Caenorhabditis elegans: one gene and its partners. The protein of the gene in region 1 interacts with the protein of each later gene in a pairwise test. Each region holds a gene or a part of one and is shown on either strand. Other genes may lie near its edges.

Region 1 (12,424 bases):
GAAAGACAGAGTCCTCTAATAAAAATTGTGTTGCATTTGAAAATGTTGAGTAGCTCAAAAAAAGAAGCTAACCATTAGGCTGACAATAAATAGGCGGCCCATATCGGCCTGAAATCTTGCAGCATTATCAAAACGATGCATTAGGTCTCAAATAAATCCCAAAGAAATTTTGAATTAATTTAAAAAATAACATTACCAAATTACCAATTACCAAAAAATGCATAATTTTATTAACAATTAATAATAAAAGGTACAAGAAAAATCTCAGCAAAACTAATTAAATTGACTTGGAAGTGTTTGGGAGAATTGTCATAAGTTAAAGCAGAATCCGATGAGGTTTGAACTTGAAATGAAAAAAAGTGTCAAAAAACAAAAAAATTAAACAAGAAGAGGAAGGAATGATGAGGAATGAACACATTTTGGATTTGGAGGAATGCGGAAATAATTGAGAAATATCGAATTTTGAGTTGTAACTAGTAACTTGTATTGATTGAAACTAACCGGGTATATTTAAACTTAAACTATAAAAAATGCTCCAAAATTTTGTGGCAAAAAACAGAACGGAAAGTGCTGAGTTTATATCTATGATTTACTACTTTTTCCAAATGAGAACTTCTTGAGCCAGTTTTGTTTCTTCTTTCCATCCCGAGAGCTTATTGTTCCAGATGCAATGGACGATGTTCTGAAAGTAGATTTTCACACAAAAGTTTAAATTTCAATTCTTACTCGGCAGCGCTGTCCATAGAGTCTTGGCTACCTCGTTGGCCGCTCAGAAGAGTGGCTCTTGACTCGGAATTTGTTGGAGAGTCTAGTGAACGATCGGTGGCTGATGTTCGTAACCGAGGTGCCATCTCACGAGGGATACTATCGCCATTTGTGATCTTACGGTGAGCGAAGACAGGAGCCAGACGACTCGCCTGAAGAAACCTTTAATAAAATTTTTTCAACTGGGCACTAACCTGCAAGAAATGCGACGACGACCTGATCAATTGAGTTCCTTCTCTGGAGCACATTTGTACATCAACTAACAGTGAAGAGAGCTCAAGCTCCTCACTGTACTGATTTTTGAGTGGAACTGATCGGAATCCACATCTAATTGAATCAACAGGGAATACTGCTTGACCAATGAACGGATCTGTTTTTGGTCCCACAAAGTCACCGTCTTCCACGTGGAATCTGATCAGTGCTACTTCGGGACACTGGATCTCAAATGTGAAAGTTTGATTCCAGATCGGATTAAGACCGTTTGATGCTGAAATTTTAATTGAAATTTAGAAACTTATTTTTAAAAAGGAAAAAAAATATTAAAAATTACCTATAGTTTTAGTTTGAAAAACTTTTGTGTCACATGGCATTCCAATAATTTCAATTTCCACAAATGGGGAGCATATTCCTTTATTCTTATCTTTTCTTGACAAATGACGTCCTCCAATCACTTGAACATTCAGTCGAATGGGATAAGCTGTTGCAAACTTTTCCGTGTTCGTAGGATCGAAGTCATCAGTTAACATATAATCTGGTTTCAGTAGGTACCCGCATCTTCCATTTGCCAAAAACTTTCCTTGATTCAACTGCATGGGTTTATCACCGGTTTGATAGTTTAGTGCAACCATATGACATCCTGCATTCCACATTGGAACCGGACTATAATTATTCGATGTGATTCGACTTCCGTTCGGATAGACCCTCGAGAGTTTTCGGGAATTAAACGGAAGAAGCCCCTTTTCAACCAGTTTGTCAAGTTTTCCCTCGACAAATGAGCACATTTCATAGAAAGCGTCATTGTAGATATGGGCTGGGTCGAATGGAACAGCTTGACAGTAGACGACTAGATTTGAGAGCTCAGCGGCAATTCGTTTTTCTTTTTCTTTGGTTCGGAGTATGCTCATTTTTGTGTTAACTGAACGAGTCAGCTCGAAGAGATTGTTTTGCCAACCATCTGCTTCCTCGGAGGCTGGAAAATTATAGTTTAAGTTAAGTTGGGATCCAGGTTGAAAAATATTTGCGTAAAGTGAATCTAATTTGTTTTTTTTTTCTTCTCCGTTTTGAATTTTTTTTAAATAAATTTTTGTAGTAGTTTGTAGATTCAGGTACGCTTTCAATTGTCACAAAATTTCCAAATTTAATTTAAATAATGTTTGAAATTTTTTTAAAGAGTTTCTATTTTCTTTCGGGCCATATCAACACAATTTGTAGCCTGTCGAAATTGTAAACCCCAGAATTTCAGTTCGAAGAACAACTTACAAGAAGCAGCCAACAAATAATATTGCTTGTTCATCCAATGTTGATTTGATTGTGATATTCTGATAACATTCGGACGATCAGCATCATGAATCCGTTCAATTAGTGTTCCAGCTAGCTCGATTGTGTTGTAGTTGCTAGTTTCTGAAAACTTTGATGTTTGATTTCACTTTACTCTGATAGAATAATCAAATTTTTAAAAAATCATTGAAGCATAGAAGGGATGATACTTTATTTTTCTTCTTTTCAGATCTGACTAAAACTCAAATTTCTATCGAATGCAAGCTTCTTGTCCCACTCTATCATTCTTTCATTCTCCCAAGTTTTTACAAATAAGTCTACACATAATATCGGCTGTTGGAATTCCAATTTACATATTCGGAGGGTACTGTATTTTGTGCAAAACCCCGAATCAAATGAATCTTGTCAAATTGGTCATATTTAATTTGCATTTTTGGAGTACTTTAATGGATTTATTTATGGGATTATTTGTTGCTCCATTTATACTTTTACCGTCAATGTCAGGGTTTCCCATGGGATTGCTGGGTTATTTGGATGTGAATATTCCATTTCAAATTTATGTTATGTTGACTGTAATTGTTTGTAAGTTTTGCAGGAAATTTGGAACTTTATATTTTATCATTTCAGTAACCGGTGTAGCAATTCTTCACATTTTCGAGAACCGCTATAACACCATTATTTTCGAGTTTTCTAGTCGAAAAGTCAGACGAGCTCTGTTCTTTATTTTCAACTATTTACTGGCGTTCACTTTTGTCATTCCAACTATTTTACGTATTCCAAATCAGTCGGAAGCTATCAAAATAGTTAAGGAACAATTTCCATGTGAAGTCGATGAAAATCGATTTTTTGTGTTAGCTCTGGATGTCCGTGTAACTCACTATTCAGTTATTATCACTAGTTCATTGATTGAAGGGCAGATTATTTATTTTGTCATTCGACTTTTGATGAATTTAAGTGGAAAAGATGATAGAAAATCAGAAAGGACTAGAAATTTACAAAAGAGACTATTTCGAGCAATTTGTATTCAAGTTACTATTCCTGTTTTACTAATGTTTATTCCATTTCTATTTGTAATTATTCAAGTTTCTCTGGAGTATCATAATCAAGGTAACACTTTTAAAACTATAATCTAGTTACTATATTCATTACAGCTCAAACTAATATTTCTTTATGCTTGCTATCTCTTCATGGTTTGATTTCAACTATTGTGATGCTCATTGTGCATAAACCATATCGTGATGCTACACTAAATATATTGGCAGCTTCTAAACTATTTCAAAAGAATACAAATAATAATAGTGAGCCCACACGAAATTCAGTTCCCTTTTTGATAGTGACTACTTAATTTAAACTTGCTATTTTATGAGATAAACTGTTTACATTAATTTTTTCAAACTAACCTGAAGTTGAAACTTTCTCTGGTAGAATCTCTTGTACATGGGCCGAAGGGAACCATCCAGTCAACGATCCATATCTTCCTCTCCAAAGACCTTCTTCCTTCCGGAGTACTGTGATAATAACATTCGCTGGGAACGAAAGTTCATCATCAGCTGTTCCTCGATACGGTCGAAGTGCTCGAGCTTGAACTTCTTTATCCAAATCCTTCAGATCCATATAGCAACCTGGAGTACGAGCTTCTGCAAGTTCAGCTGTCAGGTGTGATATATCCTTCTCATTGACAGGGAATCGAAGACTAATTCCTCTAACAAATTCTCGATTCGCATAGAATTCAACAATTTGATTCAAATTCTCGAATACTTTTTGATTCACCACGAAAATTCTTCCATCTCTTTTCAATCGATAATGCCAGAATTCGCCGTCGACTTTTAGCGAAAGAACGTAAACTGAAGAGTCAGTCGATGACGTCCGAATTAGGAAAGCACCATCTTCTGGCACCAAGCTCAAAAGTTCTTCGGCTTTTTCCTTGTCAGCAGTAGCAGAGAACCATGGCTGATTAAGATGCGGTTGTGGTTGAGGACATGGAATCGTGAGCACCATTTTGAAATGAGCAGTTGTGAGGTAGTGACGGGTGTAGTAAGAGACCAACTCGTAAAGAGTGTCGCAGACTTTGTTATCCATGAAGTAATATTTTTTCTCTTCTGAAAAATTGAAAAGTTGAAAATTTTATTAAAAGTTTCTCTTCTATTTACTGTAATTCTCGAATACATGTTACATGCAAAACATAGAAAAACTCACTATCAATAATCTTGGATCTTATCCGAACATGATGAACTTTCCCGTCATGTAGAATCGAAAGTGAGAAATCTCCAATGAACAGATTCGAATCTCGAATCATAAACAATCCATTTCCCTTCTCCTTATGCTCTAGAATCCGTTTTTTCGCTTCATCCCGTTCACATCTTCCATGGAACCATTCTTCAGTCACATGCATTTCTTCAGGTTTCACTCCAAATCCAGAAGGCGTCTCTTCTTCCCGTTCTTCATCTCCACTTACACTCACTGTATCGTCATTTGGATTTTCAGGATCAGCGGTTTGAATCAGGTAGCAAAGACGATCAGGGAATAATATGAAAACATGAGATGTCCATTCGTGACTGTTGTTGTTTTTTACCATCAGGATCCCCTTCTTTACACATTCGCGAGATATGATTTCCGTGTCTTGGACTGAAACAAAAATCATTTAGCAAAATGATTTATACCTTTACTACTAGGAAACTAGAGTAATTTCATAAAACTTACACTCATCAGTTTTCACCACAGCTGCCAAATCCTCGCTTTCTATCGGCAACTTCTTATGCTTCACGATAATTTTCTTCTTCAACGCGGCCGGGGAGGGCAATTGTTTTTCTTCACGATTTGCTGGTTGTGTCAATAAATAATCACCAAGAATATCTTTCAGTTCTTGAGCTAGAAGCCGTTGAGCTGGCACCGAGCAGTTGTCCTCAATTGATAGAATTACTGGATATTCACTCGTAACAAATGCATAGTGACGGATGACGTGAAGCACGTCGCGGAGCAAAATTTTTGAGGTCATCGTATACCCGTGATAGATGACAATATCAATGAACTCGGCTGACCCGGGCTTCTTCTGTCCATCCCAGCAATCTACTGAAAAATAAAATTATTTATAAAACAGTGAAAATTGTCTCTAAAACTTACACTCAATGCATCTACAACCCATCAAAAGAGCTTGAGCATAACAATCCAAAGAAGATTCAGATCGAAGTTGGTCACCCGTCAAGTATCTGGAATTAAATTACTGGTTTAGCACTTATATAGACCAAAAAAAAAACAAACGTATTATGCGAGCTGGCAATCCAATAATGAGACAATGGTCTGCTCATATCATGAGTAACTTTCTCATTTGTTGGGTCCCACAGCGAATTCTCCCTTGAAAATAAAAAATCACAAAACTCGAAAACAGTCATTGAAGGCTCATTTCTATCTCCAAAATATGCTTGATCTTCTTGAAAATATCGATTCAAAAACTCCAAAGCTCTCGTTCGATTCGAGGCAAGTTCATCGAATTGTTTGCCATCAAGAAATCGCAAAAAATTTTGAAACGTCACCACAAGACCTTTTCGTTCATGTTTTTCAGCAAGATCAGCGAATCTTGAAGAGAAGAGTTCAGGTACATGGATAAGTTGACGACTGGCAAAACTGAATTGATCAGAATTCATTTGATCTTCTGTCACTTGTTGGAGCTGATCAGATTGAACTTTGAATTGGAGGGAGGTTTGAACAAATGGTTTCATATGCTTTCGAGCAACGCTGGAAAATTGTTATTATTAAAAAATTCTGCAATTTTTGAACTTACGCATCATTAGCCGGTGACATTAAACTCAAAAAGTGTTTATGCAGAAATCGTTCAATTCTCAATGGATGAGGGGATGAGTCTCGATCTCTTGTGTCCATCATCAAATTATGAAGTCCTTGTGACCATAATTTGCACGCATCCTCACTTTCAACTATAACATTTTTCTTTCAAACTATTGAATAATTATTTTAACAAAAACTCACACAAAAGAATCCAATAGGAAAGAGCAAATCCCATTCCATATGAGATGATTAGAATGGCTTTTGAATCAAAATTTACGATTTCTCGATCCTTTTTCCATTTATCATCTACTTTAATTGTGTTCAATTTGTAATTCAATGTCTGTACTTCACGGATTTGTCGAATATCTAGAATTGTCGGTTTATTTCTGAAAAAAATGTAAATGAATTTCATGCGATGTTACTTATCCTCTTACCTAACAGCTGACAGTTCCAATTTTGTCAGAAAAATCTGCCTCGAGTACCGATCCAACGTTAATTGTTTATAGGCTGGATCCCATTTCTTCAACACCGCAATTTTGCACACTTTGTGACCTTTCTCCATTGCCGCAAACATTTTCCCAAAATCCATTTCATTGTGACGGTTCAATTGAGCTCGTGATGCTGTCGAGAAACCATTTGAAGAGCGGTGATGAAGGTGAACGGAGCCCGCTGTGCTGGTTACTGTAGTCTTTCGAGACGACGATGATGGGCCAAGTGAGCCGTGTTGCATGCTGAGAAATTGAAGGATTTATGAAATTGGATGCACATAAAAAAGAAAATTTTAACGGTCTTCCTTGCAAAAGAACGATTGAAAGAATTTCTGATTTAGAAATTAATTTAAAACTTATAAGCAATTACGAAAATGTGGTGTTTCTTCAATTTCTCATAACAAAAGTTATTTTATTCAACTAGTGAAATGCAATTCAGTTGTTAAAATGAATAATCTCTTATCAAAAATTGTTGTATTTTTCCGGTAAAAAAACTATCAATCATACTTTCCCGTTTGAAAAAAAAATCAAAGAATATAAAACAAGAACTTGATCAAAAATCTAATTTTTTAAAATAGTTCGCTTAGAAATTTTTAGAAAATTCACAAGAAGCGGCTGGGAAGGCTTCAAGTAATATTGAAAGATATTACATTTTTTTAAACAAGATGTCTTATTTGCCTGGATATTTGTGAATTTTTCCAATTAATTTATAAATAAGTTTTAAAAATGTAGTTTCTATTAGAGGAATGAATAGGTTTTCAACAAGAAAATTGCGATTGGAGATTATGAAAGTTTTCTGCAAAATTGGCAAAAGAAGTTTCTATAACAATTACTATTTATCTATCAAAATTTTGAAAGCCGGCAAAAATGTGTTTTATGCTTTAATTCTTTGTGCTAAAGATTGGCTCAAATGTGCAAGGATAGTTGAAATATCTCAACTAATCACACTTTTCAAAATTTTGAAAATTTGCCAAAACCGTGACTGAAATTTTTTTTTTCATATTTGGTTTTTAAAAAATCGCGTATATTTTGACAAAAGCACCACAGCCCTTCAAAATTATTTCCTAAAAACTTATTTACCCTCAGTTTAATTCGAGCTCCAATAACCCAATCAACTCCCTATTCCTATATTTTCAGAAAAAAAAGTTTCCGGAAATTCTACAACTGCAAGAAAAAAGAATGACATTTCAAGAAAAAAGGAGCACAATAAAGTAAAAGTGTGAAATATAATACATATGACCTAATGACAGTATGATAACGTCATACTAGCCACGGCGAGGAGCACAATTCGATAACGGTGTGTGGAAAAATAATTCAGACTAAATTGGGAAATTTTCACAATTCCTTTTTGATAAAGAAAAATGCTCCTCGAGTTTTGTGCTTTTGGTGCTTCACACATAGAAAAGAGAATTGAATGAAAAGGGCTGGAAACTGGAAGAGAAAGAGAAAGAGCAAAAGAATATTGTTTCAACAAAATTCGAATCGCTTTGGTTGATTGAAGAGAAATGGACGATGTGAATGTGAAAAAGAAGAAGAGGAGCATTTCCAATATTTTTCAATTAAATCTTTATCGGATTTTCAATTTGTTCATTCCATTGGAATGAAGACGCTTCAATATTTGTATTTATTTACTTTGAAGACATTTATGATCATTTAAAAGTTTTCTATAACTATTCCAAAGTATTTGCTAATGAAAAACGAAAGCTGTGATACATTTTATTGTAACCCGATTTTTTAAAAATTATAGTATCATAGATAAACTTACCCAATTAAATTTACAAAAAAATTTTAGACATATAAGTGAAAAATTGTCAAGATTGATTTTTTAGAAAATTATTTTAAACTCTACATATGTATATGCAACAAAGTCACAGAAAAATTACATCACATATAAATCACAGAAAAAAAAGAAAACTTTTAGAGTCGTGTCAATTGTTTTGCATTTGCGGAAGAAGCCATACATTTATGAAAAAATTTCGGATCTTAACATTAATCCTAAAATAAAGTATTGTTATCAGACTTTCTAAATATAAATTTTTAAAAAACTCGAAACCATTTTCCTTGGAGATGTTAAAATTGACACCTAAAAGGAATGCTTATAAAAAACGACAAAAATATTCTGAATTCAGATGCAAATTTTCATTTTTTCACATACATAAAATGGGGGTGAATGGGTGTATAGAACATAGGTGAAATATGATAGATAAAAGAAAATGAAGAGGTTTTGAGAGACAAACAAAGCGGACCGGTTCGGGTTCGCCAACAACTTCGAGACAATCGCCTCAACAGTCCGAACACACTTTTTCTCTGGGTTTCCGCATTAAAAAAGTTTTACGCACTTTTGATTTGTAAATGTCAACTTACTAAACTAAAGTACAAATATTTATAAGTAAGATGCGAAAAGTTTCGGGAAAAAATTGTGGCAAAAATTGAGTTTCCAGCATCAGTGCATTTTTATACAAAACTTTTCTGGAAAATATTGCATGAGAAAAGATGACAAAGGAAGTTTGTATCGGGGGCACACCAGGCTAAAATGTACTGTTTCTAAATACTGAACGGCCAAATAATCGGCGAGATGACAATTCGCAGGAAACAACAGAGAAACCTCAAAGATCGGCAATTCTTATTTGAACTTTTGAGGAATTCGAAAATATTTGTTTATCACAAAAAAGGTTTACATTTCAAACTCAGCTTTAAATTCAAAATGCATTCACTTTAATGGAGATTTTTAATGCTTCAGGGTGTTTAGGGTTAGATTATCATCCGGAAGCCATTTCGAAAAATGTTATATGTTGAAAAAAATCTGCAAAATGTTCAACATGTTTTTTTCAAAAGGCATCAACTTTACAAAGAAAAAAATAGCTAGGTTACATTCGGAAGTTCAATTTAGAGCGGAAATACTTTCCTTGTGGATTTAAACCCTCTGAATTAGAAGTATCATTGTATTAACCATTTCCCACTAAAACACTAATTAGTCGTCTGTCTGGAACAAGGTGGTGGGAGAATAAAAACTGTCACATCATTCTATCGAGACACGTGGCAATGAGCAACCAATTGCCATGGGAAACAAGGTACCAGAATACAACACTATAATAGAGATAATAAATACTTTATTCTGCAGTCATTTAATCTTCAAAATCACTGAAAATCGGAAAATTCAATATAAATATTATGAATACTGAGGGAAAACAACAATTAAGGATTTATAAAACCTACCGGTAAGCTTAATAGCCCGTGACAATAAAACTAGATTTTGGTTGTGAGATGATAATGATATGATAAGTTGAAAAAGTCGATAACATTTTGAGGTTGATAAATTATTAATAAGAATATATACTTTTAACACTAAATTACAATTAAAGGAGATATATTTTTTAGAAAAGTTATTCCCATGGTCTGAACAGCTTACTCTTTCTTGAAGCTTTAGGATTGGAATTCGAGTTCTCATTTGGAGTGGATGGTGTTTCGATTGATGACGAAGAAGTATCGGATGATGGTGGTGGAGAATCCAGTGAATATGATGGAGACTGTTGAGATTTTGGACTTGTTGCCATTGGTGCCATTGGCATTGGGAAGAATGGGAATGGCCGGAATGGGAAGATTGGGAATGATGGTGGTGGAATTGGGATGGGCATGGATGGGAATCCAAAGAGTGGCTTTGGTGATAAGGAGAATTCGAAGAACTTTTCAAGGTCTGCGCATCGGACAACGAGGTGACGGTCGCTCTGAAAATATATTGATAACATTTAAAAAAATCTTCTCGAAGTTCCTGACAACTCACCTTGAAAAATTGGAAGGCAATGTTTTTTGCAGTCTTCTTTCCCTCTGCAATTGCATGTGCATAGAGTGACTGCTCCTGGTCGCTTCGACTAACAAAATTGTGCTTCTTGTTTTGAATGTAGGCAATTATGATATCCAGGGTGTTCAAGCGTTGCATTTTTTCGCTGAAAAAAGGAAAAGTTTAATTTATGGTATTGGGAAAATTTAAGCTTACACTTGATGAGATGTCATGAGCTTGTTCTCAATGATAAAGTTCTTCAAAGCATCAAAAGCTTCTCCCTGACGATCTCTTCTATCTTGCTCTCTATTCTTTTTCACTTCCTTTCTATCAATTGTGATTCCAGATTCCGATGTCGATGGAGAGCTTGACTGGGATCTATAGCTCATTGAAGAGTGGAGAATTTCCGACTCAGATCTTCTCTTTGATTTTCCAGATACAGTGCTCAGCAAAGATGAACGTTCTCGATCGAAAAACTGCTTGGCACGTTGCACAAAATCCTGACAGACATCTGAATTGACGCCCAGGGATTTGATGAAGGAATAAGTGAGCGACTCGATTGATCGGAATCCGTCAAAGAATCCTTTGCGATTTGGATTTGATGATGGTCCAGGTGATTCGGTTTCCATGCGACTGACCACTTCGACTGCACGGTTTAAGACATCACCTTGGCTGAAAATTAGTAAGATTTGAATGAAGATAACACTAAACGAATAGAAAACTCACGTCATTTTCTCATTATCCGATTCATTTTGAATCAATAGTTGAAGCTCCTTGATCTTTGCATTAATCTCATCTCGTCGTTTCTTCTCCTGTGATGTTTTTCTGTTATGAGCGTAAGCTGGTGGTGGGGTACTGATGAGGACCATTTCTGGAAAAAAAATTAAGTTTTTATTGATTTTTATAGCTCGATTTGTAAATGAACAAAATCAAGAAGGGAGAAATGTTGCGGAATTTGAGAAATATAGAGAAAGAGAAGGAGATATAGAGAAAAGTCATAAACCATTCGGAAGAGGGAGCGTGGCGATTTACAGTACCCCTCACTTCTACAGCACGCCTTCTTTTTCTAGATTAGAATCTTATTCGTAGAAATTTAATTGCCTTAAACCCTAAAAACCCACTTTTTGTGTCGTTTCGCCAAAAAAAATTATATCCCAATGGTTCCCATCACTATCAACCACAAAAGACGTGCCGAGTTATCAGTGTGGGAATCATTTGATAAGTGTGCATGGGAAAAAAGCACTTGAGTCATGACACAGTTTCCCACAACTCTTGACCATATTGGTTTGATAACCCCTGGTGAGAGGCGACACTGTGAAGAGCCGGGCGGATGCTCAGGCGGTACTAATCCTTTAATGGAGAGCTAGGGGTCCGACAAGGTGAGAAAAGGAAGTGAAACGGCAGACCGGAAGAACATGAAAGAAGTTGGTAAACAAGAGGGATCTACAGGCAGTAAAATGCATGGGGAGGTGTTAGAGTTTCAGATGTACTGTACTTGAGGTGAAAATTTGGAAGACTGATAGTGAGGTGAGACATAGAGAATTCGGGGGAAGAATGTTAAAATGAAGTGAGAATTGGTTAATTTAAGGAAAACTAGAAATTGGAAGCGCTACAGTAGCAATACTATTTCTGGTGAGGTAGAACTATGTTGCTACTGTAGCTGAAACTCTTAACCATAGCTATAGACTACTGTAGATTTGCTACTGTAAGACTCTAAAGAATTTAGGGCAAAAAATAATTAGGAATGTATACTAAATACACTTCTCAAAATCTCAAAACAGCTAAAGTAAATACTGGAACTAAAAAACAAACAAAAAAATGAGAAGAAGATGTATGAATGAAAGTAAATTCTGATAGCCCCCACTTGTTGACTAATTGCAACCGGACGCGTCTAGAGGCGGGGACCGTCTCGTTGGATGTGCATAGGCCACGCCTCCTTTGGCTGGCAGGCAACCATGGGAAAGGTGCAGGGAGAGAGGGGTATAACGGAAGTGGTGGGAATATAGGGGCACGTGAAGATGAGAGAACTAGTGAGACTGTGGGAAGATATAGGTTAGAGAGTTGAATTTTGATAGATGATAATGATATGAGTTCTTTTAAATTTGAATACGTTGGC
Region 2 (8,602 bases), on another chromosome or scaffold:
AAAACTAAGAAAAAATGGAAGCGGATAACTATCAAAAACTTACAAAACTGGTCAGTAGGTATGGATTCAGTGTAAAAACTGATGGCGGACCGGCCGCCAAATAACTATTTGGCTGATTTTGGGCGCAAAGAATTTCGTACAAACATCCGTCGTCTGATACTTCTGAGACTTGAAGTTTGTTGAGAAAACCTGAAAATAGTGATATTTACCGTTTTCCATGAATATCTATACAGTAATCCTACAGTACTCACGGTCTTGTACTCAACCAAAAAAAATTAGGCGTGCTCAACGCAGACTTTGGTTTATGTCGGCTGCGTATTCATCACAGGATAAACCAAAGGTCAAACTATAAACTACAAACTACAAACTACAAATTACAAACTACAAACTACAATACTAACAGACGTTAAGTTCTAAAATACCTGTATTAAATGAATTCGGTGATGAACAGTCGCACTTTGTTCGGGATATTTCTGTTATAATTTTAGAAATTTTAGTGGTCGTAGTAGAAATAAGTGTTGTCGAATAGCTAGCAGTTGTAGAACTTTTCACAATTTCCCCGGTTTCAATAGTATTTGAAACAGTGGATGGAGACGTTTTCTCGGGCAGAACACATGCTAAACTATCTGGAAACCCATAAGCCGCCAGGAAGATCAAAAATACACCTAGACCCATTTCTATTGCTGGTTGGAGAACTGTTTCCTTTTTTATATGAGTGCTAATGAGGTCTCATTACAGTTTTCAAATGCATATTGATTAGATGAAACGTGTATGTTATGTTAATTTGAGCAAAAAAAAGTTTCGGTTTCATAATTTTTGTTTAAAATTCGAGGGGAAATGCTTATTTAATGCTATATTCCTAGTGAAAAAAGTAAAAGTACCCGAACTTTTAAAAACTATATGAAACAGTGGATTTCTAAAAAGTTATTTTGTCAATGCTGCTTTGCAAAAAAAGTTAGAAATTTCCATTTTGTAGTTAATAAGTGATATTCAATGGTTTTTCTTTAGCATAAGCTTAATTTTTTTTTGTTTCTTTTTTGACTTAAAAAAAAATTAAAACTCGAATGTGGGTATGAGTTTTTAAGGGAGTAACGGAACAGTGATTTTTTTTTGTTTTGCAGCAGTCTTCAAAATATGGCACACGAGCCAGTTAGTAGGGAGCATTAATCAAATTAAGCTTCCAAGAAATATATAATTCATCAATCTTTAAAAAACTTATTAAATTATTGAAAACAAATAATACAATACGGACGCAAACAAACACTTTTTAATGTTCCAGGTAATTTTCAAAACAACTGCGCAATGAAAACGCTCAATTTATGGATGTAAATGTCTTTTAAAATGAAAAAACAATTTTTTTATGATACTGACTCTAGTTTTTAATTTCAAAGAGGTAGTTAAGCATGATAAATTATCCTCTTAGAAAAATAAAATTACATTCTAAAGTTGATTTATTATTTTTCAACTGTAAAATAAATGAACATGATCGTTAATATTATTTATTGCAAAAATATAAATAAGTATTGTATTGTATATACACATAACTAGTGTCACAATTATACATTGGATGACTACATTCTCTTGCAACATTGTCCATTTCCACACGGAGAATAGTTTTGCTGGCAAGAGCAGGAGTTGACTGATTGAGTGAGGCATGGCATCTGGACTAGTTGAGCAGTAGAGCACGATTGATAGCATGATTGGGTGCATGCTGGAGCACATTGCTGCATTGGTTGTTGTTGTTGAATGCATTGTTGTTGGCATGATTGTTGGCATTGTGGAACACATTGAGCAGATTGAGACACTGAAGGTTCTAGGATGACAGTCACAATTTGTGGAGCAACAACTGGAGATTGGCATGCTGATTGGCATTGCTGACATTGTGGAGCAGCTGGTTGCTGACATTGTGGAATACATTGTTGTTGGCACTGTTGAGTCTGTTGGCACGAAGTTTGACATTGTTGGCAAGCTGGTGCAGATGGAAGTGTGCATTGTGGAGCACACTGTTGCTGGCAAACTGGAGCATACTGCTGGCAAGTATTCTGGCACTGCTGGCACTGTGGAGCTGATGGCTGTTGGCATTGAGGAGCACACTGTTGTACGCATTGTGGAGCTGCTTGCTGACAGGTTGTCTGGCATGGTTGAGTACATTCCTGATAGCACTGTTGAACTGGAACTTGTTGTAGAAGACATTGTTGTTGACACTGTTGTTGGCATTGTGGAGCACATTGAGCAGAGATTCCCAAGTTGACATTGATGACTTGTGGAGCAACAGTTGGAGCACATTGTTGAACACATTGCTGCTGACATTGTGGTTGACATTGTTGAATTGGTTGAGCTTGAACACATTGTTGAGTGCACTTTTGTTGGCATTGTGGAACACACTGGACTGTGACTGGAGCTGGAGCAACACAGGATTGTTCACAGGCTGGCATGCAAGATGGTTGACATTGGACTGGAGCTGGAGCAGCTATTTGAGTATAACAGGAAGACGTCTGACAAGTCTGCTGGCATGAAGATTGACACTCATTCATAGATGGAGCAAATTGACATTGGTTCTGGCAAGACTGCTGACAAGCTGGAGCACATTGAGAAGTTTGCACTTGGTAAGTTACTTGCTGAACTGGTTGGGCACATGAGCAGGATGTCTGGACTGGAGCAGTGTTCTGACACGAACAACTGTACTGTTGTGGTTGAGTTGCTTGTTGGCATGAACAACTTGGTTGAACTTGTGAAGCACAACCACATGATTGACGTTTATCACGAATTGATGTTGCCTGGAAAAAACTTCTGTGAACTTGGAAAACAAGCATTTTGTTGCTAACATCGATTACGTCCAACAAATATTTGTAAGATGTGGGCACTTAGAAAACTAGACCGTATTATCAAGAACATTTTGAAAAAACTGTACATGATGAATTTTTCATCAAGTGATGGAAAATTGTTGTAGTTAATATAATATTTTTAATTATTAATAAACCGAAATACTAACTGAAAAAGTTTAGAAATGTCGTGCCATTCTAAAAGTGAAAGTACAATGAAACTTTATCAAACCTCGATAAGCAGACAGCTGGAAGCAAAGAGAGCTACAAATACGATGAAACGCATGATAATGGTTGAAGAAGCAGGGCTTGATGATTTCCACAGATATCAAGGCTTTATATACCCCCTCAAACACTGCTTGCGTACGATTATAGCAATGTAAAAAAATAGTGCCGGAAAAAATAGTCCAAGAGTTCAAGTCTTGTAATTTCGAATGGCTATTGTGAGAGCAAACAAAAAGGTGTTTCTAATAATGAGTGGCGTCAAAAGGCAATAAACAATTTAAAATCGTTTTGTCGAAATCCGAACTCTAAAGTTCAACAGGTAACCCTTTCATTACTTTTCTGAAAATGTAAACGAAATTTTTTGGTACACATAGTTAAGCGGAAACTCGGCGCAATCCAAAAAAAAAACACTGTATCAGTGCAAACGCGCACCCAACCTCTTTTTGATCTTTGCAACTTGCCGTGCCCTCAAGAAATAGTGTGTGTAAGACTGGGAGGCGACGAGCGTGTTTTTTGGTTCATTTGCCATGTTATCATTGTTATGTTTGCGCTGAGCATGAAGCCGGTTGATGGATGGAGTTTGATAAGTGGGACGGAACTGTTTGATGGCTAATGAAACAGGGTTGTAGGACGTTGGTATAAAAGTCGGAAAAATTAAAACAAGGGCATCAATTGTCTCTTAGCAGCTCTTCAATCATATTGACAATGCGTTTTATTACAATTGCAGCAGTTCTTCTTGTTTCTAGCCTTCTTATTGTTGAGGTACGATTTGTATTACTGTTGCTTCACTTACTTTCTGAATTATCTGTAGAATTAGTTAACAATTTATATGTACACCTTGAAACATTATATTATTTCTAGGCATCTTCAATTCGTGATAAACGTCAATCATGTGGTTGTGCTTCACAAGTTCAACCAAGTTGTTCATGCCAACAAGCAACTCAACCACAACAGTACAGTTGTTCGTGTCAGAACACTGCTCCAGTCCAGACATCCTGCTCATGTGCCCAACCAGTTCAGCAAGTAACTTACCAAGTGCAAACTTCTCAATGTGCTCCAGCTTGTCAGCAGTCTTGCCAGAACCAATGTCAATTTGCTCCATCTATGAATGAGTGTCAATCTTCATGCCAGCAGACTTGTCAGACGTCTTCCTGTTATACTCAAATAGCTGCTCCAGCTCCAGTCCAATGTCAACCATCTTGCATGCCAGCCTGTGAACAATCCTGTGTTGCTCCAGCTCCAGTCACAGTCCAGTGTGTTCCACAATGCCAACAAAAGTGCACTCAACAATGTGTTCAAGCTCAACCAATTCAACAATGTCAACCACAATGTCAGCAGCAATGTGTTCAACAATGTGCTCCAACTGTTGCTCCACAAGTCATCAATGTCAACTTGGGAATCTCTGCTCAATGTGCTCCACAATGCCAACAACAGTGTCAACAACAATGTCTTCTACAACAAGTTCCAGTTCAACAGTGCTATCAGGAATGTACTCAACCATGCCAGACAACCTGTCAGCAAGCAGCTCCACAATGCGTACAACAGTGTGCTCCTCAATGCCAACAGCCATCAGCTCCACAGTGCCAGCAGTGCCAGAATACTTGCCAGCAGTATGCTCCAGTTTGCCAGCAACAGTGTGCTCCACAATGCACACTTCCATCTGCACCAGCTTGCCAACAATGTCAAACTTCGTGCCAACAGACTCAACAGTGCCAACAACAATGTATTCCACAATGTCAGCAACCAGCTGCTCCACAATGTCAGCAATGCCAATCAGCATGCCAATCTCCAGTTGTTGCTCCACAAATTGTGACTGTCATCCTAGAACCTTCAGTTTCTCAATCTGCTCAATGTGTTCCACAATGCCAACAATCATGCCAACAACAATGCATTCAACAACAACAACCAATGCAGCAATGTGCTCCAGCATGCACCCAATCATGCTATCAATCGTGCTCTACTGCTCAACTAGTCCAGATGCCATGCCTCACTCAATCAGTCAACTCCTGCTCTTGCCAGCAAAACTATTCTCCGTGTGGAAATGGACAATGTTGCAAGAGAATGTAGTCATCCAATGTATAATTGTGACACCAGTTATGTGTATATACAAGACAATACTTCTTTATACTTTTTTAATAAATAATATTGATAACTTTAAGTTTTTACTCAAATTTAGAAAAAAAAAAAAAACTTTGACCACTGAGCGGATCGAACGCCCAACCTTTCGATCTGGAGTCGAACGCGCTACCATTGCGCCAAGCAGTCACATTTTCCTTTGTCATCTAGTGCAATGACACGAAAGGGGTAGAGAGAAAGGAGAGAATAAGGAGGGGACATATGGCGGTAGAAAAACCGGTGACGGACTACTCTCTTCATCGTTTATCACATATTCTGAGTGTTTGTTTTTTCAAATTTAATGGAGGAAATAGATAGAATAGTGAGGAAATGAGAATGTTATTGATTTTCATGGCGGCATTGGTGTGAAACTTGTTGCTCCTACTGACGCGATTGTGCCAACTCTTGACTGTTTAATCTCTTTGAAACTTCTGAACAGAATCATTCGAATTCCTGGAAGTTTGTGAGGTTTTTCTTGCACGGGTTGTTGCAAGCACCCGACATCTACCGGGTTCTCGATGTGAACATATGCTGAATCCGCTAGAAGTCAAGCGCTACGGAACACTATGGAAAAATGAAGACCGCCAGATGTCGGCTGCAACTGAAAGTTTTGGGAATTTGCTTACTTTTTGCAGTCATTCGATACTCCGAAACGACATACATCACAATAAGTGAATCCGTGGCTGGATACAAAGTAAAGCTGCACAGCATTACTCCAGACGGCAAGCTCACATCTAAGTTGAATAAAGGAAGGAAAATTATGACAGTTATTGGAATGAATAATATGATCGTCGGCATTGTGATCTACATTGTAACAATTTTAGTAATCGGACTTAAGCGGCCGACACCTTGCGGGTTTTCTGTGGAAACCCATGAGGTGTCGGGCGCAAAGCAAAATTTATATACCTGAAGGATCAATGTCTTGAAAAACTGTTTATTTTGTATCTGAGACCTGGTCTCTCGCCAAAAAGAAATAGGTTCCCAGTGCATACTGGAAGCCGAAAAATGAGCAATAGGCGACCCAGATCAGGGAGTAGAAGCCTTTGAAATAGGCGAGCTTGTTGGTGCTGAAATATAAGAATTTTGTGAAGCGCCAGACATATTCCGGGTTCAGCATTAAAAAACAGAAACCGGGCGATGTCGGGTGCTTTTTTCTCGCTGCAATAAGCGCCCGACAACTCCCTAAATTATTTTTGTTTAGGTAGACGTCGGTTGCAGTAAATAGGTTTTTGTTAGAGTTACTGGTGATTGATCGTACTACGAGTGAGCTTAGTAATGCCGCTGCTTTTAAATCAACATAGTGAAACTGTAAACGTAATAACTCACTCAAAAACTGCTCAATATCTGTAAATAAACTGCACAGATAGTAGAGACATTGTTGCAGAATGGAAAAATGTGTAGCCTGCTGAAAATTTACAGTTTCAACTGAGAAACTTGATTTTGGACTGGCCTAGCGGAATGTTTCTCGACCATGGCCCACTTAACCAAAATGATTCTTCGAAACTGAAGAACAATAGAGCTGCTTTGAAGTTGTGCACGTTCTAAAATTAGTTACAAAAGCTGCAGCCGACACCTGACGAGTTGCAACACTTCGGAACCCGTTAAACGTCGGGCGCCACAGTAAACCTACCGGGTACACAACAATCTCCACTGTAGCAAAACACATGCCAAGTGCGGTGAACGCGCTGATAAGGTACTTATAGGAACCGAAATTTCTCTGGGCTCCCAGATAATTCAACGAGAGAAGTGTTAATCCAAACGTTAAAGTTAACAAAAACCCAAGTTTCGGAATGAAATGAGTGACGAAAATCCAGAACAAAAAACTGCCGGTCATGTTCTAAAATTGGAAGAATTCGAGTCAAGAAAAGTAAAAAAATTGAAAATGTTTCAGTTTATGCCGACATTGAAACAGTAAACTTATGGTAACATTTTTAAAATTTTGATCTCAAGTTTATGCTCATTTTTACATCTAATTAGTAAGCTAAAAGTGTGAAAAGTTAGTTCGGTCTGTTGGTTTTACTCTAAAATCAGTGTAACGTTCTTGATTGTGGCTTTTTGATTGATGCAGAACACCAAAAAAGTTTTTTTTTTCAAAAGATAATATGGAAATTATTAAAAGTGAACGTTGAAAATAAAATTTATGATGAAGGATTTGAAACATTGAATAGAAACATTGTAACTTAGCTGACCTTCATGAAGAATTTGAAACAGATTATTTCAGAAATTTTAATAATTAGTTAATTTTATATTAATTTTAAAGAAAAATTCTAACATTATATAAATGCTACTCATTTGCACAGTAATCTAATAAAGTTAATTTTTAAAAAGATTTTTAAGCCAAAAACAAATTAAATTGCTAAAAGGAAGCATAGAGTAAATTATGAAAAAAAAACTGTTTCATTTATGAAAAAGTTGAAACAGCACAAAATTAGCAGTCTTGGGAAGCTGCTTCTTATATGGGGTTTTTGAGAAATTCAGAGAGTATTGTTGTACATTTTACATTAAAAATTTTTATGGACTTAAAAAAGTGATAGTGAAAACTGAAAATCAACTTTTAAAATATATAAACTGGTTTTTAAAAAGTATATTTTGATAAATTCTTGATTTGGATGCTTTATCGTAAGGATTGACAATTGTGTTCGATGTTTGATCTATACGGATAATTTTTTTTTCAAATAGAAATTACAACACATTTATTGGGAAAAAATGGGGGAAAGGTTAATAATGAGTAAACCAACAATCCACTGTTTCGATGTTTCAATAAATCAACCATGAATAGGATTAGTTTATTGAAGATGCCTTTTATGTTCCTTTCCCTTCTATTAGCCCTTCTGTCCTTTCTATCAAAGTTTTTTTTTCAATTTCACAACCAGTAGCACTTACCAAAACTGTTAGATATTTATATCTGACATGTGATACAGTAAATTTTTTATTTGAAAAGTTAATTCACAAGTTTGGGTTTTCAGACCGATTACTGCAGAAAACAGAAATCAGTGATAGATATATTTTTGATGAAATTAAAATTGTGGGCCATTTGTTCTCCCCCCCCCCCCTCCATTTGAGTCAAAAAACCAATATTTACTAACCGTATTTGTACATTAGAAAAAAAATACCATTTACGTTGACAGTATTAGTATGCTAGTTCAGACGCAATTTTTTTTAATATCAAATTTTTAAAATGCGATTTTTTAAAAATGCGAATTTTGAAAAAAAAAACTCCGCCAATCTTAATTCATTCGTAAAACATTATTCTAAAAAATACAAAAAATTTAATTTTGCACATAAATTGTTTCAACTTGTTTCTAAATACCACAGTATCTGTAATTTTTTAATATATGTACTACATCCACCGGAGTCCATGAGTAAAAACTTGGTAAATATTTAAAAAAAGCCGGTTGTTTTCTGTTTCTTTTTTCAGAATGTCTTACCAGCAATACAAA
Region 3 (10,146 bases), 5.9 Mb from region 1:
TTTTAAATTCTAATTGAAATTCAAATTTTAATCTGAAATTGTTGTTCCAGACGATTTTTAAATTTTTTCGAGGACTTTTGTGTTTTTATAAAAAGATTCTAAAAGCCTTTCAAACTTTTTTTAAAGATGTTCAAATTATAGTTATAAAAAAGCTGAGTGAAGTTGTCAGGGGGTCCTAAATTCAAAAAAAATGTTGGAACCTTTAAAACCTAACAAGAAAAATAATATCAAATTCCAGGCATGGACAGAACTGGAAATCGTACCGGCTGCGGAGTTGTTGCAATTCTCCTGCACTATTTCTTCCTCTCCTCGTTCTGTTGGATGCTTCTAGAAGGATATCAATTGTACATGATGCTTATTCAAGTATTCGAACCAAATCGTACAAGAATCTTCCTTTATTATCTATTTTGTTATGGAACTCCGGCTGTTGTCGTGGCAATATCTGCTGGAATTAAATGGGAAGATTATGGAACTGATTCTTAGTGAGTTTTTTGTTGGAAAAATCGGAAAAATCGGAGAATTTTCCAGCTGCTGGATCGACACCTCCACCCCGACGATCTGGGCATTTGTGGCTCCAATTATTGTCATCATCGCTGCCAATATCATATTCCTACTCATCGCCCTAAAAGTCGTTTTATCAGTTCAAAGTAGAGATCGTACAAAGTGGGGAAGAATCATCGGATGGTTGAAAGGGTCTGCCACGTTGCTGTGTCTTCTTGGAATCACATGGATCTTCGGATTCCTCACAGCAGTAAAAGGTGGTACTGGAACCGCTTTTGCCTGGATCTTCACGATTTTGAATTGCACCCAAGGAATTTTCATTTTCGTGCTCCACGTTGTGCTCAACGAGAAGGTTCGAGCATCCATTGTAAGATGGCTGAGAACTGGAATTTGCTGCCTCCCGGAGACAAGCAGTGCTGCATACAACAGCAGAAGCTTCTTGAGCAGTCGGCAGAGAATTCTGAATATGATAAAAGTAAACGGACATAGTTATCCAAGTACAGCAAGTACAGATGACAAAGAGAAACAGTTGACTCCGATTACAAAGACAACGGATTGGTTGAGCAGGTTGCCAAATCAGGACTCGGTTTCGATTCCGGAGAGCAATTTTAACAATTTGAATGGGACCCTGGAGAACTCAAATCTCAATAGCGCAGAAATCAAGGAAGAAGACGAAATTCCAGAACTCCGTCGACGAGTCACAGTTGACCTGAATCCAATGATAGTGAGCAACAACGAAATCGAGCGAATGAGCCATGCCTCTTCGGATCCTAGAGGATCCCAGATCATCGAAGTAACGGCGGTGGAGAAGAAAGCGCCAGTAAAGAGAATCAAGTTCCCACTGGGCGCGAAACAAAGTGAACGGGGATCTCAGCACAGGACAAAGGCGAAAGTAATAGCACCTCCAGAGTCACCGGTTTCGGAATCTGGATCCAAGGATTATCGATTTTAAGTTACCGAAGTTATTCTAAAGCTCCTCGCCTGCCTTCCTTGTGCCTACCCACTTTCACAAACCCCCGAAAAAAAATTTTCAGAGTGCCCGACATTTTCTGGGCTCACATTTTCTCTGGAAACCCTTGGCATGCCGAGTTCAGAGACCCATGACTTTAATGACTTTGTTTTCTTGAGTACTGTAAATTTAATTACTTATTGCCGACGCAAAACGATCTATAAAACATCCCCCCCCCCCCATAAAATTCTGGGGGTGTATATGGTGCTTCTCCCCATCTCTCACTCACTCACTTCTACCGGTCACTGTTTTCATAAATTATTGTTATTTCTTCAATGAATTGGTTTACATTTTCATGTTTCTTCTTCTTTTCAATTTTGATCTACCAAACCTTTGCAAAAAGGCTGAGCCCACGAGAAAACCGGATTCTACGAGCAAACTGTGGAAGATATGTGCCAGGATTTACCACTTTGTCCTCTCATCGCAGAACTTCTGAGGAATACAAGGCATTGTACGGTAAAGAAGTGAAAATTGGTGAAGCCCCATGGGCGGTCTCATTGGCTATGAAGAAGCGAATTTCTGATGGCTCGGGATCTTTTAGAAACGGCGGAAATAAGTTTTCGGAAAATGAATTTGTTCAGCATGGAACCGGAACATTAGTCTCTCCATGGCATATTGTAACAGCTGCTCATTTGATCGGAATCAGTGAGGATCCTCTGCCTGACTGTGATACTGGAAATCTCAGAGAAGCGTATTTCGTGAGAGACTATAAGAATTTCGTGGCATTCGTTAATGTGACATGTGCGGTTCCAGAGATGTGTAAGGGATTGCATAGGAAGGATATGTTCAAGCCACTGGCGATAAAGTCGGTGAGTAGATTACCCTTACAATTAGGCTTAGGCGTAGGCTTTGGTTTTTTCTTAGGCTAAGGCGTAGGCCTAGTCTTAGACGCAAACCTAGGCTTAGGCTTAGGCTTAGACGTAGGCTCACTTAGTCTTACTAAACACATATTTTCTTTACAGCTCTACATCCGAAAAGGCTATGTCGGAGATGGTTGCATTGATCGAGAATCATTCAACGACATCGCCGTGTTCGAATTGGAAGAACCCATCGAATTCTCAAAAGACATATTCCCAGCCTGTCTTCCATCTGCTCCAAAGATCCCGAGGATCAGAGAAACCGGATATAAGCTTTTTGGTTATGGAAGAGATCGTAAGTTCCGATTTTTATGTGATCTTTTGAAATTTTTAATTCCAGCTTCGGATAGTGTTTTGGAGTCTGGAAAGTTGAAATCGCTATACTCGTTTGTTGCGGAGTGCTCCGACGATTTCCCATATGGCGGGGTGTATTGTACGTCGGCAGTGAATAGAGGATTGTCTTGTGATGTTTGTTTTTAAAGTTTAAAAGTGTTTCTTCAGAAGTAGGCAGAACAATGCCTACTTGCCCAAGATGCCTAATAGTTTCCACTGATTCCAGGGTGACAGTGGCTCGGGAGTTGTCCGAACATCGGACACTCGAAATGTTCAAGTTCTCGTAGGTGTTTTGTCAGCCGGAATGCCTTGTCCAGAACTCTACGATACCCATAATCGTCAACGTCAGCAACGGAGACAGCTGACTCAAGAGACTGATCTTCTCGTGGATGTCTCGGCACACGTGGATTTCTTCTGCACGTGCTGTGGAATGTGCAGTTGAAAGTTTAAGATTCAAACATTTCATTTCGTTTTTAATATAAGAATGCTGAAATAAAAGTGAACGTTGAGTAATTAGTTAATTTACACAAGAAAGTTTTTGAAAAATCTGATTTCAATTCAGTCCTGCATCTATTCAAGTTTGCGATTGGCGTTCTGAAAGTTCAAAAATTAGAAATTCACATCTCTATCACTTACGTAAATGTTGATTTGATTCTTGAGCTGTGCAGTGAGCACTTTTCCAAACACAATATGATTGTGAGACGCGAGGATTTTTGCGGCGGCAAGCGCGGCCTCCGATGGGTCCAACACTGTAGTACACCCGATTCCATTCGGCATTCGGAGTGATGACCAAATGTCAAGACTCGTTGATTCACTTGGTGGCGGGCAGTTGATCACCTGAATTCTTTGAAATAAAGATCATCTGATCTTTCAAGTCCTACCGGAAGAGACGAGTTTCCAGCAATAACTGGACCGAGTCCATTGGATCTTCCAGCTACTGCAATCACAACTGTCGGAACTCCACTTTCTTCGAAATCAGCGATAACTTCCAGAGTGTCCGAGGTAGTTTTATGAGCTGAGCTTACTTTCAGCGTAGTTTCCAGTCCAAATTTCTTGGCTTCATCAGAGATTTTCCGTGCGAATACGCCATCCGAACCAGATCCCATGATCACAAGAACATGGCATTTTTGCTGGTGTTTTGAGAAGGTGGCAGTGATATCCATAACCTGGAAATGTTATTGGTAGGTAGATACGCCTTCGTGTCTATGTGCCTGCCTACCTACTCAACGTGTCTACCGAAAATTGTAGGTATGCATATTGGCAGAAATCAGGTGCAGATCGCCTTGCAGGCAGGCAAGTTATTGTGCTTACACGAAAGGTTTGATTCGCGTAAAAATCTAACAATTGATATATAGGATGATTGAATTTAGGTTTAGGCTTAGGCTTAGGCTTATGCTTAGACATGGGCTTAGGCTAAAACTTAGGATTAGGCTTAGTCTTTGGTTTAGGCTCAGGCATAGGCATATGCTTAGGCCTAAGCTTCGGCCTACTAACCTTTGTATAATTCTTCAAAACGAGAGCCAACCCCTCTTCTGTCACTTCCTTCATATCCCTGTAAACTTGCTTATCCAACTGCAGACGTCTATCATTTTCAGGCCAAACTCTCCACGAGTCATTGTCAATCACGTCGGCCAGGAGAATTTCTCCTTCAACTGTGACTCCGAATTCGATCTGGAATTTTCAGGTTTTCTTCAAAATTATTTCAAAATTACAACAACCGACAATTGTAAAATTCAGCGAAAAGAAAAACACACTTCTCCTCGTGAAGTACTCAAGCTGCGTAAATCGACACGTTACAGAAAACACCCAGTTTTAAATGGTGCTGATTTCCTTTCAAAATGTAAATATTTACAAAACGAATATATTGCAGACCGAACATTAAACTTACATACTTTTTATTATGTTTACTTTTTAAAGTTGAGACCGATAAAAAAAAAGAGAATAATAAAAACTTTGCAACACCCTCACCTTCATATCAATCAGAGCACTATTTGAAAGAGCCCATCCTTTCTCCAATGCTCTAAACACCAACTTTGTCATCTTCTTCATCAATGAAATCTCTTCTCTTCCAATTTTCAAATGATCAATCATCAAACCATTCGACACAATTTGTTCATCAGTCCATTGTGGATCATCATTAGCGTCGTCTTTGAAAAATGTCTCCAATTTCAGATCATTAAATCTGAAACCCTCTTTAACTCCAGGATTTCTCTTCAAGAAGGATCCTGTCGCAACACGTCGTGCCACCCATTCAATCGGAATCATGGTGCATTTACGGGCGACAAATTCAGTTTCAGAGATGCTTTTTTCAAAGTGTGTTGGTAGACCGAGAAGTTGAAGATATTCAAACACGTTTGATGTGGTTTTACTTGCGATTCTAGACTTTCCTTCAAGCTCATTTTTACGGACAGCGTTGAATGCGGTCAAGCTATCTTTGGAACGAATGAGCACATAATCCTGAAAAGATTTTGTTCAGAAATTGAAAAAGTTGGATTCAATTTTGTTGAAAAGCACATTATTATCGCAATCCAAACGGAAAAATTCAAATAGATTTCAAATTTACGAAATTGACCGAGTTTTTTCTAGGCTCCGTGAAAGCTCAGACACCGTTTTTACAGGAAATTTTCCGTACGTGTATTTGAAAAATGTGCTGAAAGAGTGGCCGAGTTTTCTCATTTCCTAGGCCACAAGCTGGCTATTTGCGGCGTGGCCTAGAAAACGTGAAACCTCGGCCACTCACCGACAGTGAAAACCGAACATTTCTTTCAAAGATTATTTTGAGCATACTTCTGAAAAATCTCTTCTGATAATTCGGTTGGCCGAGTTTTCGTGTTTCTAGGACACGCTTTTCTGAATATTATGTAGACGCATAAAAATGTGACTTGGGCTGCAAAAGCGCGCCACGGATAACTGAAAACCGGGTCTCGTTAGGTATTGGCGGTAAAACCGTATAATCCTACTTTTTTGCCGATTCCAGCACTTTCCAATCATTTCTCGTTGTTTTTAACGATTTTTATGTTGAAAAATGCAAAAAAAATTGGGTGAGATCGTCAAAAATTCACGTTCCCAACGAGACCCAACGTTTTGGGGCGGAGCTTGTCAGATTACTCGCGGAGCGCGTTTGCATCACGATTTCAAAAGGCGCTTTTAAAATATCTAAATTTTAATCTATAAAGCATTAAAAAATTAGTAGAAAATTAATGTTTTCCCAAATTTTTTGAATTTTCAGTGAAAAAAACCAACCTTTTCTCCTTTAATATCAAAGATTTGCTTGGTTTTTCCTTCAGCAAGAAGCTCCAAGTTTTCGGGTCTCGACGCGATTTCAGCCAACGACGACATGACAAACAATAATAGTATCGAATGAAACTGTGTTGCTATCACGGAACGATATCAGAACCCCCTTGTAGGCGAGTTTGTCATCGACAAACATCTTGTTTTCAGCCTTTTTCCCCGTCTTATCAGTTCGGTGTTGCGCCACTGAAAATACAGAGAAAACCGCCGCCGCCAGTCATTGTGAAGCTCTTTCTTTGAAAAATCACAGGTTTTCAAAGAGCAACTTGTGTATATCGATAATCGTTTATACGAAAACGTAGAGAAAAGAGGAAAAATAAGGAAAACGAAGGAAAAAAATGGGAGATTGGGAGAGAAAATGTGGAGAGAAAGAGGGGAAAAAGAGATGGAAAATGAGAGAGAAAGGGAGCAATTCGAGAACAAGATGACGAAAGTGGGATATAGAAAATTTGCACACGAGAGATCATCTTCTTCTTGTTTAGTTTGGAGTAGCTCGCGCCGCCGATGGAACGGCTCCCGGTTGCACATTGATTCCTCCGATTCCAGCTGCTCCAACACCACCACCACCCATAACTCCGTTAAGACCCGCTGGTGCCGGTGGAGTGATTTGTCCGCCACCGCCGCCACCTGTGCCGAGCGTCAAGTTATGCATCTGAAGCATCAGACCCGTCTCCGGACCGCTCGGAAATTGTGGTCCTTGGAAAAAGTATTTGTAGGGTGTCGGTTGTCCGGAAACTGATTGCGGCATTTTCGGCCGATCCTCGAGCTCTTTGTACTCCAACTTTAACTCTTTCGGAATTTTTCGCCATTGCATCTGATCGAACACGTTGTAATGCCCTTTTTCATAATTTCCCGTCTGTTCTTTCACTCCACCGTACTGAGAACGCGTCAACCACACCTGTTCGCTTTTGTGAAATCGCCATTCGCGAGCGTACCTGCAAAAAATTTGAAAATATAATGATTGTTTCGTGATAAAAAAGATTTTCTCAATTGCTAACATAAAATATATGTTTTTTTCAATTTTCTAGCTAAAATTTTAAAATTATTAATAATTTGATTCGTGAACTTCGACCGCGACGTAACTGCAAACGGAGCGGCTCAATAATTTTTATTTTAACTTTTCGCTAAGAACGCGTGATTCACATGATTTTTCATAAATTTATATATGAGGCGAAATAAGAATCAACTAAAATGATGAACAATTATGCGATCTTAACGAAAAAGCGGATTTTCTTGAAAGTTTTTCGCCCAGAACGAGTGATTTTCTATCATTTTGGCCAATTTTTTATGCGTTTCATATGTAAATTCATGAAAATCACAAATTCTCGGGGAAAAAAAAAAACTAAAATAAATTTTTTAAACACGACGCTCCGCTCGCGGTCATGGTCGATGCAGGTTTTTGGAATAAACTTTACTTACAATTCGCACGCCGCCGCCACCTGATAAATCTCGTTTGGACAGTTGTAAAAAAGATAGAATAACACGTCTTCTGAAACTTTATTCAATCGCAGCGGTGGAAGTTTGTCTCGAATATGATTATGCGTCATGTACTCCTCGGGCACCTTCACGTCGAGCTCGTGTGCTCGAATCGGCGAATCGGCCCACGGACCACCAAAGTTCATGTACAATTTTCGTCTGAAACAGAGGGAAATTAGAGTTTTTCTGGGCTTTTCGGGCTTTTCAGGCCACTACTCACTCTGACAAATTCAAATTCAAGCCCAACGTCGTAAGATCATAACCTAACGCCAGTGAAACAATGGAAGGATTGTCAACTGTCCGAAGATATGTCACCAAACCCGCCATCCCAAACTGATCGTCAAGCATTGACGCTGGAATGTTTGTCACTTCGCCTGAAATTAACAATTATTATTTTAAATGCTTATTTTTAAAGTATTCCCACCATCAGGATGAGTAATAATCCCATGCATAGGTCCTTCTTGACTATTTCTTGATATCCCGCTGAGCCGCGAGGGGTCACAATCGCCTAGGGGTCCAGCAAAGTCGACTTGATGGTCGTCTGCTAACATCTGCAATAATTTATCGATTATTTGATTGTCATCGACGCAGAAATTTTGTTGACATTAAATTAAATTTAAGTACGTTAGCCAGTTGATCTCCAAGCATTGATCGCTGTGTTTGACCAGAACCGACGCCGGGAAGCGCGGGAAAATCCTCGTTCTGTATTTGGAACTCGGGATTTGTTAGACTGGGGTCCGATCTCATCAGGTTAGCTGAAAATTAATTTTTGCATGGTTTAACAACACAGGAACACGACAAAAACTGCGAAAATTCGGAGAATTTTTATGGAAATTCTGAACGAAAAATCTCTGCGGGGTACGGTCGATCATGGAATACGCAACCACCGTCACGGACTTTTGCACACATTCAATATTGATTTTTCTTAAATAAAAAATAAAATTTTCCAAAAGAATTCGGCGGTTTTTTCTCGAATTCATCGGAATTTTGCAGTAAAAATGAGTAAATTTTATCAGAAAATTTGCGTTTTGCCTAAAAACTCACGGAAAGAAGTTGCCAACATCGAAAAATTGCACAATTGCGTTCAAAACAGAATGAAACACGCATTGTAATTTTTAAAATGTTCAATCAGAATTTCGCGCGCGCGCATTTTCAAAGAGCAAACAAAAATTGATTTAAAAAAAAATATATATTCGCGGTTCACAACCAGCTATCGTACTTTTTTTTTTAATTTTTGATACTTCATGCTTTTCATCACACAGAAAGAGAAAAAAGTAAAATTTACCATAATTGGGTCTTTGTGCGCCGTAAAGATCTCTCGACGGCGATGACTGGGCAACGTTCAAAACACCTCCGCTCGTTGTTGGGATTGGGGAGAATCCGCCGCCGCCGAGTGAGGACGTTCCTGAATAGAAATCGATGAAATGCCTTGAGAAATGAAATAATTGTTCTAATTTTTTTTAAATATTGATAAAAAGGATGAAAGATTCAAGGAAAACATTTCCGTGGACTTCCACACAAGCAGGTCAAATTTAATATTTTAATTTTAATTTTTTTCCATTTAACAATAAGAATGAGAGTTCGACAGTGAGTTTTTCATAGATTTAAGAATATTCTCAAGCTAATAAAAAAAAATCAGTGAATTTACCTTTCGCGCCCAGTGATGGAAACTGGGACTCGTCAATAATTGTTGCGTTGGAGTGAAAGTTGGAATGCGAAAGAAATTGCTGCGTTTGAGGCAATCGTCGTTCGGTAGCTACTCCACCGACTGAAAATAGGCTTTGGTTAATTTTAATTTAAAGTTTTCTTTCTGAATTTAAAATTATTTTCATGCGATCGATAATTCGAATTAATCGATTTTCCGCATGGATTTATTCGGATGGGTCTCGCCACGAACACACTTTGATATTCACGGTTTTTTTCGACAAAAACGTTAATTTTCGAAGGATTTCTCACGGAAATAAGACGGAATTATTCCCCAGGCTCAAATTTTTGCACCACACCAAAACTCGACCCGGAAATGTTTTTAACGCGAAAAGGTGTGTGCGCCTTTAAGAAGTATTGTAGTTGAAAACTTGTGTTGTTGCAGAATTCTCATCGATTTTTATTATTTTTTCAACCGATTGTTTCCAAATTGAGTTTTTAGAATAAACAAATATATTTTTGTTTGAAAACTATGAAAAATCGATGAAAATCTTGCAGCAACAAAAGCTTGAAATTACAGTTCTCTTTAAAGGCGCATAGCCTTTTGCATTTAGGGAAAATTTGTCGTGTCGAGACCGGGAGCCGTATTTTTTGACGAAAAACCGTCTCGGTAATAGGAAAGAGGTTCAAATATGAATTTTGGTTCACTGGCAGGGTCCATCAACAGGAGAGCTTTTTCATCCAGAATTAAGATCTTCGCGGCGAGACCCAGATATCTGAAACCTTCAAAAATCAAAACTCACCAGAATTCATAAGCACTGCGCTTATGGTAAATCCTATGCGGAGAGATGGCTACGTTCTACTCATAAATCTGAAAGAAAATCGATTTTGGTCACCAGTTTCGCATGCGGTTTAGACGGGACGGGGAGGGGTAGATCAATTGAGAAAACATCTGAAGTCGAAGAAGCGTGTCTAGAACACGATGTTGATGATGAAGCTGATTCACAAAAAAAAACACAGTCACATGATGGGCTG

The links.
Region 2: the proteins of plc-3 (region 1) and pqn-90 interact in a two-hybrid assay, tested with the Caenorhabditis elegans proteins (one large-scale study listed by BioGRID).
Region 3: the proteins of plc-3 (region 1) and paic-1 interact in a two-hybrid assay, tested with the Caenorhabditis elegans proteins (one large-scale study listed by BioGRID).

Annotation. Positions count from the first base shown.
Region 1 is NC_003280.10:10,217,226-10,229,649, reverse strand, and holds plc-3 (1-phosphatidylinositol 4,5-bisphosphate phosphodiesterase gamma plc-3), read right to left. Parts: upstream 6,774-12,424; 5' UTR 6,773-6,773; coding exon 6,477-6,772; intron 6,429-6,476; coding exon 6,244-6,428; intron 6,192-6,243; coding exon 6,041-6,191; intron 5,995-6,040; coding exon 5,521-5,994; intron 5,469-5,520; coding exon 5,383-5,468; intron 5,332-5,382; coding exon 4,963-5,331; intron 4,888-4,962; coding exon 4,459-4,887; intron 4,362-4,458; coding exon 3,663-4,361; intron 3,633-3,662; exon of another isoform or gene 3,608-3,632; coding exon of another isoform or gene 3,414-3,607; intron 3,370-3,413; coding exon of another isoform or gene 2,890-3,369; intron 2,845-2,889; coding exon of another isoform or gene 2,520-2,844; intron 2,386-2,519; coding exon 2,245-2,385; intron 1,955-2,244; coding exon 1,316-1,954; intron 1,253-1,315; coding exon 960-1,252; intron 918-959; coding exon 727-917; intron 683-726; coding exon 583-682; 3' UTR 210-582; downstream 1-209. Other genes in the region: srh-135 (Serpentine Receptor, class H), read left to right, coding at 2,520-2,844, 2,890-3,369, 3,414-3,607; Regulator of fusion ref-1, read right to left, coding at 9,914-10,255, 10,312-10,474, 10,525-10,980, 11,035-11,177. UniProt on the Caenorhabditis elegans protein: Mediates the production of the second messenger molecules diacylglycerol (DAG) and inositol 1,4,5-trisphosphate (IP3) which plays an important role in the regulation of intracellular signaling cascades.
Region 2 is NC_003282.8:15,286,413-15,295,014, reverse strand, and holds pqn-90 (Prion-like-(Q/N-rich)-domain-bearing protein), read left to right. Parts: upstream 1-3,752; coding exon 3,753-3,809; intron 3,810-3,826; exon of another isoform or gene 3,827-3,848; intron 3,849-3,878; exon of another isoform or gene 3,879-3,908; coding exon 3,909-5,114; downstream 5,115-8,602. Other genes in the region: Y73F8A.10 (Fibrinogen C-terminal domain-containing protein), read right to left, coding at 44-189, 423-675; pqn-91 (Prion-like-(Q/N-rich)-domain-bearing protein), read right to left, coding at 1,572-2,777, 3,055-3,108.
Region 3 is NC_003280.10:4,366,477-4,376,622, forward strand, and holds paic-1 (Phosphoribosylaminoimidazole-succinocarboxamide synthase), read right to left. Parts: upstream 6,050-10,146; 5' UTR 6,040-6,049; coding exon 5,944-6,039; intron 5,432-5,943; exon of another isoform or gene 5,362-5,431; intron 5,158-5,361; coding exon 4,669-5,157; intron 4,372-4,668; coding exon 4,195-4,371; intron 3,867-4,194; coding exon 3,582-3,866; intron 3,538-3,581; coding exon 3,337-3,537; intron 3,295-3,336; coding exon 3,271-3,294; 3' UTR 3,149-3,270; downstream 1-3,148. Other genes in the region: Latrophilin-like protein LAT-2, read left to right, coding at 239-482, 529-1,453; try-9 (Peptidase S1 domain-containing protein), read left to right, coding at 2,014-2,319, 2,473-2,662, 2,708-2,835, 2,927-3,142; ntl-2.1 (NOT2/NOT3/NOT5 C-terminal domain-containing protein), read right to left, coding at 6,470-6,926, 7,411-7,626, 7,688-7,841, 7,892-8,018, 8,092-8,222, 8,753-8,872, 9,116-9,235, 9,915-9,924.